Linked DNA regions of Sus scrofa. The protein of the gene in region 1 purifies or fractionates together with the protein of each later gene. This does not show direct contact. Links are inferred from orthologs where the notes say so. Each region holds a gene or a part of one and is shown on either strand. Other genes may lie near its edges. The genes, in order: WSB1 and CUL5.

Region 1 (4,610 bases):
TATGGCACAGTACCTGACCCAATAAATATTAGACAGTATCACTAATGAGTACATAAATCATTAAAATTATTTTTCATTCCATTGTCATACTTTGCCAGTTGAGAAATGGTCTGGAAGTCTGTTGGCTAGCAGTAATAAATTACAATGGAATTAAACAATTGTATGAAAAAGCCACCAAAACAATGCAGGCACTTAAAGAACTGGTATTTCCCATGACTTTGTAACAGTAGATACAGTACATGTGAAGAGAGGAAATAGCAGTTGGTTTAAAGAATCAACAGGGACTGATAGAAATGTTGCTATTGAAGATACTAGACTGCACTATTTTCTTTTGTTCTACTCTAGATATTTGACAACTAGCCTCAGTGTATGGCACAAAGTAAGCCATCAATAAATATGTTGACTGTATGTGACAAAAAAAAAAGGAGAGGGGGATGATTTCTTGTACCTGTTATTAAATATTTCACTATTGGAAGACTTATCCTTATGCAAAGAAAAAGATGAAGAAGTCATGCTGTAGGTGCTGTCATTTGAGATCTCTCGAAAGAGTCTGGCTAGGCACAACTCCTCTCCCATTGGTGTCTGTTGCATATTTGAAATTCCCAGCCTTAGACGTCTTCCTTTGGAACTAGGTTTAATGCCCACAGAAGAACCCATTAAAATGCAAAGATATCGTCTTTGAATGGAACCAACTTGGCTTTTGGCAGATACACACACATTTATCAGCACTGCAGTGTAAATAGCTAGCTGCCTCCCAGAGGCCTAGACCTTGGAAAGCAGCCTTGCAGAATGGGCCGCTTCTAAGCAGACACGGTGGGATCTGCCTCGGCTAGTGGTCAGGACACAGCCGACCGCCAGCCTCGCTGCAGCCTCCGGGCAGGCCGGCTGCAGGGATTAGCCAGGACGAAGGCAGCCCCAGGAGGCCTTGTGGTGGGGCAGGACACCATCCAGCCCAGGTCTCCCCCTTCCTCAAGCCGGGTCACTTCGGCCCTTCCAAAAATCTGCTAGCTCTCATAAGAACGCTCACGGCCGGACATGTGGTACAGAGCGATGTCATCTCATTGTTTTCAACAGTGCCACCCCCAGTTCCCTGCCATTTGAGGGCCGGGGAAGAGGCCAAATAGAATTGAAGTCTGGAATGCCTTTTTTTGTTCTTTTCAGTTCAGTCAGCTTAAATGCCACGCAATCTTTACACTGTGGGCTAACGTGTATTACACAATTCTCTATTTGCCTTTTTAAAGGCGCTTCAAGTTATAAACACCATGCTGGGCCCCCGGCCGAAAAAAGAGACGCAGTTAAAAGCAGTCAGTAGGCTCCAGCCCGGCGTTTGGGCCTGGACTGGGGTCGCACCCCTCCTCTACCGCCCCCGCCCTCTTCCGGCTCCCAGGTCCAGTCCCCAGGACAACGCCCTAGAGCACCCGGCGGGAGGGCGGGGCACCAAGCCTTGGCCGTCACGTCCCGAACGTCGGGAGGCGGGGCATAGCGCTTTTACGTCACCAGACCCCGCCCCGCATCCCTGATATTAACCGCGCCGACCGCCATTTTGTCTCCAGTGTCTCGTTTGCTGTCCGCGGCGTAGAGGGAAGTGTCTGACTCCGTGGGCGTGAGGCAGGGAGCAGGGGCTATTGTTTGTGTTTCACGCCGTAGTTTGGTCCGAGGCCTCCGGAGCTTTCCCGGGGCAGTCGGCAGAAGCCGCCGCGACCGCCCCGCCCCTCCCCTCCGTCCCTGGGACCGGGAGGGACCCAGACCGCGTCACGCCCCTCGGCGCTCAACCTTCCCTTCTCTGTCGTTGCGTCCGCATCGCTTCCCCGGAATCGGACGGTACCCCATAGATGGCCAGCTTTCCCCCGAGGGTCAACGAGAAAGAGATCGGTGAGGAATGGGACGATGGGCGAGGGGTGCCGGTGAGCCCGCGGGAGTTTAGGAGAGGCAGGGACTCTCCCGAGGAGGCTCTGAGTCTGAGGAAGTGGAGTGAGCCTGAGCCAAGCCTTAGAGCGCAGAGGGAAGAAGCGGCCCTGTGAGTGGGTGTCGTTGAGGGTAAATGGGTTCAGCCTTGATGCCGCGCCTACTGTGCGCCGGGCACGGCGGAAGGCAGTGCGCGGATCTTAGAGGCAAAGAGATTCTGGGCGCCGAGTGGAGGGCTGTAGTGATCATGTGGCCCGGGATGGATACACACTCGTGGGGATCCTAGCTGTCTCATCGGAGGTCTGCGCAGGGCTGTTCTGCAGGGATTCTCTTGGCTCGGGGGTTGGGGCCTGGAGTGGGCCGGAGCGGGCTGGGTAAGTCTTCGGGACGCTTACAAGTTTCCAGTGGGGAAAAGTACACTTGTGTGTTCTGAGCTGTTATGAAAGGATGGGTCTTCGTGTATACCAATCACTATAAGGGGAAGTGCAGCCGAAGAGCTGCCTTCAGCCTGGAAAAAGCAATATATATATATATTTTTTTTTTTTTTTTTTAATTGGTGTGGCGTTAAGAAAGGCAGCAGGCGGCTCAGGGGAGGAGTCTCAGTTATCTTTCGTGCACTTAAGAGTTGGGAGGAGCAGGGTGGTTGGGTGGAGTGACCGAAGAAAAGCTCATCTACGGAGGAGCAAACTCTTGAAAAGGCTGTCTAGAAACGCTTAGCGGCCAGCCCTGCCGAGCTGAAAACCGGCTGATAGATGTTGGCGGTCCTGTGTCAGGACGTACCCAGTGGCTCAGTGGAAAACACCTCACATTTTTTTAAGTCCTCTCACAAGGTGAAATAACTGGAACAACTTTGGGGGAAGTTGGGGGTGCTAATCATTGATTGATGTGTTACTAAACATTTAAACTTAGCAAGTCAAGTTATACACCTTATTTAAATATATGCAGTTTTTATTAAAATAGATTTAGCATCTCCCCACCCTTTCTCAAAGCCCAGCACTGAAATTACCGCTGTTAAATAAATGAAAATTGGAGGTAGCTACTGAGCTGAGAGCCTTTGCATTTCCTTATTCTTCAACTAAATGTATGCCTTTATTAAACACTGGCAGGAGGTATTTCCAGAGAAAGGGAGAAACAATAGCTAAAAGGCCCCCTATACTGTATGTTGGTAAATTCTTATATTTAGAGACAGCTATCTTAGAATTCTGGACTTTTGTCCTCTTAGGGATACAGTTGGATGGCAAGTTAGGAGGGGGCTTTAACCCTGGGTTGTTTTTTGTTTGGCTTTTTTGCTTTTTAGGGCCACACCTGCAGCATATGGAAGTTCCCAGGCTAGGAGTCAAACTGGAGCTACAGCTGCCAGCCTATGCCACAGCCATGCCAGATCCCAGCCTTGTCTGTGACCTACACCACAGCTCACAGCAGCAACAGATGCTTTAACCCACTAAGTGGAGCCAGGGTTTGAACCTGTATCCTCATGTTCATTTCTGCTGAGCCACAACAGGAACTCCCGACGCTGTTTTTTGGGGGTTTTTTTTGCTGTTCAGGGCTGCACCTGAAGCATATGGAGGTTCCCAGGCTAGGGGTCTAATCGGAGCTACAGCTGCCGGCCTCCAGGCCTCCACCACAGCAACGCAGGATCCGAGCCTGTCTGCGACCTACACTACAGCTTATGGCAATGCTGGATCCTTACCCACTGAGCGGGGCCAGGGATAGAGCCCGCAACCTCGTGGTTCCTAGTTGGATTCTTTTCCGATGTGCCACGATGAATTCCCTGATCCTGGTTTTAGTAACAGTTTTAAACAGAAAACAAAATTCATGTCCAGTTTTTTTGTTTGTTTTTATGTCACACCTGTGGCATGTGGAAGTCCAGGGATTGAATCTGACCTGCAGCTGTAGCAACGTGAGATCCTTTAACCCACTGCTCCAGGGCCTTGGGATCAAACCTGCACCTCCACAGTGACCTGAGCTGCTGAAGTTGGATTCTTAGCCTGCTGCGCCACAGCAGGAAGTCCTCATGTCCAATTTTTATTTTAACTGTGGGATGTAGAACTCAGAAGTTCTTATTCTCAGTCCAATGGTGTTTTGTTTTCGTACTCACAGTAGTGTCATAGATGAGTGGTCTGCCTTTCATTTATCTGTATTTTACTTCATCTTGAATCATTTTGAAAACTTTCCAGTCCTCTCTTATAAGGGATGGATAGAGCTTCTTAGCATAACTGCATAAGGTAGAACCTATCCATAGGTAGATACCTATCCACTAGGTAGCCTTTTGAATTAAAAAAAATGGGGGCGGTATTTAGGTCTCATTGTTATTTCCTAGATATAGTATAAAGTTACTAGGTAGTCGCCAAATAATCTAAAAGAACTTTGGCCTTTTAAAGGTCGTTTTGTTTTGTTTTTTTAAACAGGTTTTTGTTTCTTTGTTTTTTAAAAAATTATTTGGATACAGAGTTAAACACTACACTGTGTAGTTTGTATCTATCAGTAAGGACTGACTTCCCTTTTTTCTTGGGTATTAATTACAGTTGTTTGGTTCTCATGTACTGAAAGAGGAGGCAAAATTCCATGAATGATTAAAGAAATCTATGCGACAGGGAGTTCCTGCCTAGAGCTACAGCCCTCTTTCACAAGGCACTGCCACAGATCCTCCCTTTCTGGTTGTGAAATTGCGGGGAGGAATGTGAAGAAGGGGCTAAATCTAGTTT
Region 2 (3,815 bases), on another chromosome or scaffold:
GAAAAAAGTGAAGAAGATACGTGGAAGGAAGAATTGGGGTAGAACCATTGGCTTTCATGTAAAATTTTATTTCGTTTTAATATAAAATCTCAAAAATTGATGTTTATAGAAATTAAAAGATTATTTGGTTACCATCTCAAATTTGCTAACTTTTAAAGTAGTATGTCAGGACTGGTTATTTTTCAGAGATGGACAGTTTTGTAGGTCACTATCTGTATATGCTGATATGAATTTCTGAAATTTGACAGTTGAGGATATAGAAAATTCTAAATGAGAGTGGTGGTTAAGAGTGTATATAAATGAAAGTAAACTTTGTTTTCTATACAGCTCTTGGTACTTAAATATGTACAAAACAAAGACGTTTTTATGAGATACCACAAAGCTCATTTGACACGCCGTCTTATATTAGACATCTCTGCTGATAGTGAAATTGAAGAGAATATGGTAGAGTGGCTAAGAGTAAGTAAATGTTTAAAAAATATTTGGTTTTCTTAAGATAGTACATGGTTCGTATGTGTGCTTAGGTTTTTGGTGATATTGTTAATGTTGAAATAAAGGAACATTTTATAAGAATATAGTATATTCTTATAAAGTAAGGCATATTATCTTTTTTTTTTTTTTTTTTTTTTTTTTGCTTTTCAGGGCCATTGAAGTTCCCAGGCTAGGGGTCAAATCAGAGCTACAGCTGCTGGCCTACGCCATAGTCACAGCAACACAGGATATGAGCCGAATCTGTGACCTACACCACAGCTTACCTTAGCACTGGATCTGTTGCACCACAATGGGAAATCCTATTACTTTAATAAAGACTTTTTTTTTGGTCTTTTTAGAGGTGCGCCTGGGGCATACGGAGGTTCCCAGGCTAGGTGTTGAATGGGAGCTATAGCTGCCGACCTACACTGTAGGTCACAGTAATGCTGGATCCTTAACCCACTGAGCAAGGCCAGGGATCGAGCCCTTGTCCTCATGGATACTAGTCAGGTTCATTAACCACTGAGCCATGAAGGGAACTCCTTAATAAAGACTTTCAGTAAAGCACCTTTGCTCTTGCTTTGCTTCTCTTGTTTCAGTCTTTTTGTATCTCCACTCTCATTTGAACTGACCTTCTGGACAAATCATTTTTTAGGTGTTTTTTGTACTAAATATTTGTCCATAGAGATATTTGTGAATAGGTACATCTGTAAAGGAAAAGGAACCAATAGGTAAAAAGTGATGGCCTGTTTAGGAGGATCAATGCTAATTAAGACTAAATTCTTATAACAGAATATTTTAAGTCTCTTCCTTTTAGTTCATTTAATGGAATTTGAGTTATATTAGCATAACATCAATGAATATGTCTTTCATTTATTTTTATGGTATTTTATATATAACAAAAACATTGTAATGTGTATAGTTATATGTTATATATATGGTTTTCATTTATATGTATATTTCACATTACAGATTTTCAGAGAGCTCTGCTTTGCATGGTAGTGTGGAATATTAAAAATGACTGTGCAGCTGATCTCAGTATTAATAGTCAGTGGGAACAATTACTGTTTTGTGACTTAAATTTTTTTTTTTTTCTTTTTAGAGCTTCACCCAGGGCATAGGAATGTTCCCTGGCTAGGGGTCAAATTGGAGCTATAGCTGCTGGTCTACACTACAGCCACAGCAACGCCAGATCCAAGCCTTGACTGTGACCTACACCACAGCTCATAGTAATGCCAGATCCTTAACCCACTGGGCAAGGCCAGGGATCAAACCCACATCCTCATGAATACTAGTCAGGTTTGTTACCATTGAGCCACAATGGGAACTCCGTGACTTAGAAATTTTTGTCAAAATATTAAAAACAATTACTATCTGTTGTAAATATAGAAGAAAAGTACACTATAAAACATTCATTTTCAGATTTAAAGTGTTTTATGTCTTTATAAAAAAACTTGGTGGCGTTCCTATTGTGGCTTTGCGTGTTAAGGACCCATTGTTGTCTCTGAGAATGTAGGTTCGATCCCTGGCCTTACTTGGTAGTTTAAGGACCCAGTGTTTCCTTGTAGATTGCGGATGCGCCTCAGATCATGGCTGCGGCATAAGTCTCAGCTATAGCTCTAATTTGACCCCTATCTTGGGAACTTCCATATGCCACAAATGCAGCCATTTAAAAAACAAACAAACAAACAAAAAGAAAAGAGTAGTTAGGAAAATATTTATAATACTTATGTCTGATACTATATCTAGAATATAAAAGAACTCTTTTTTTTTTTTTTAATTGTGTTTATTTATTTATTTTGCTTCTTAGGGCCTCACCTGAGGCATATAGAGGTTCCCAGGCTAGGGGTCGGATCAGAGCTACAGCTGCTGGCCTATGCCATGGCCACAGCAATGCCAGAACCAAGCTGTGTCTGCTACCTACACCACAGCTCATGGCAACGCCAGATTCTTAATCCACCGAGTGAGGCCAGGGATCAAACCCGCAGCCTCATGGTTCCTAGTCAGGCTCCTTAACCACTGAGCCACGAAGGGAACGCCTCTGTTTTATTTTCATTTCCAACATTATTTTCTTCTTTTTTGGGGAGGTATACTTTTATCATCTTTCTTGCCCAGTTACCTCTTTTAGTTATTCATTTTGGTAAAATGTTATGTGGATTTATCCCTCAAAGACATGAATGCAAGAAAATACATGCTTTGCTATCCATAGGTGAGCTGAATAATAAACTGGTAACAGATTTTGAAAGAAGTATTGTGACTGGTGACTGATACGATGTGCCTGTTATTTGTTGATGATTTTTAGATTGAGGAGCTAGAGGTTACATTTGTGCTTTATGTATTACCCTCATTTAATATGTAATGGTAATTGAAAGTTGAAGTGTGTTGTTGGGGGGCCGGTGTTATTTAACTATATTGTGGTAACTGAAATTAATGCATCCTGGATTCATGCACAGAATGCCAGGATTGCCTGAATATTCTGTTTATTTTCTAAGAATAAAATGTAATAGGTATTAGATTATAAACATTCTAATAAATAAAAGAAAAAAATTTATATTAAAACATCTAACACTTAGTTTTACATTATAATTTTTCCTAATAGTTTATCAGATTATGTATTATTTATTACTTCTTCTGTCTTTGGTTTTCATAGGAAGTTGGTATGCCAGCAGATTATGTAAACAAACTTGCTAGAATGTTTCAGGACATAAAAGTATCTGAAGATTTGAACCAAGCTTTTAAGGAAATGCACAAAAATAATAAATTGGCTTTACCAGGTATTATTTTATAATTACATACATTTTTTTTTAACTTTAAAAAAAGAATATCTTTGTTTTCTAGTAAATTAAAAATGTTTAAGGAGTAATAGATATAAAGATATTCAGAGCCCACATTCTTTGACAATATCCTGCAAAGCAGAATTTAGATTTGCTAATTCTTAATTTGAAACAAACAGACACTTTTAAACAAAATCTTTAGTCTTTATTTATTTTTCACCAAACTTACCCTCTGTGTTTGTATTTTAAATTTGATCCATTGTTTTTAAACCAGCTATAATGGAAAAAATAAAAATCATTGTTAAAAAAAATTATCCATTGTCAAGAGTATTGGCTTAATACTTTCTGATCTTCTTTCCTATAGCTGATTCAGTTAATATAAAAATTCTTAATGCTGGTGCCTGGTCAAGAAGTTCTGAAAAAGTCTTTGTCTCACTTCCTACTGAACTGGAGGATTTGATACCTGAAGTAGAAGAATTCTACAAAAAAAATCATAGTGGTAGAAAATTACATTGGCATCATCTCATGTCAAATGGAATTGTAAGTAGATGGTGTGTTGGTTCAGATATT

The links.
Region 2: the proteins of WSB1 (region 1) and CUL5 purify together in Homo sapiens (affinity purification with mass spectrometry; 4 studies listed by BioGRID and IntAct, counting the BioPlex papers as one, with this or other methods). This does not show direct contact. The link is inferred for Sus scrofa from reciprocal best matches to the Homo sapiens genes WSB1 and CUL5.

Annotation. Positions count from the first base shown.
Region 1 is NC_010454.4:43,883,602-43,888,211, forward strand, and holds the start of WSB1 (WD repeat and SOCS box-containing protein 1), read left to right. Parts: upstream 1-1,513; 5' UTR 1,514-1,832; coding exon 1,833-1,872; intron 1,873-4,610. UniProt on the Homo sapiens protein: Probable substrate-recognition component of a SCF-like ECS (Elongin-Cullin-SOCS-box protein) E3 ubiquitin ligase complex which mediates the ubiquitination and subsequent proteasomal degradation of target proteins.
Region 2 is NC_010451.4:36,492,608-36,496,422, forward strand, and holds part of CUL5 (cullin-5), read left to right. Parts: intron 1-327; coding exon 328-459; intron 460-3,121; coding exon 3,122-3,245; intron 3,246-3,609; coding exon 3,610-3,785; intron 3,786-3,815. UniProt on the Homo sapiens protein: Core component of multiple cullin-5-RING E3 ubiquitin-protein ligase complexes (ECS complexes, also named CRL5 complexes), which mediate the ubiquitination and subsequent proteasomal degradation of target proteins.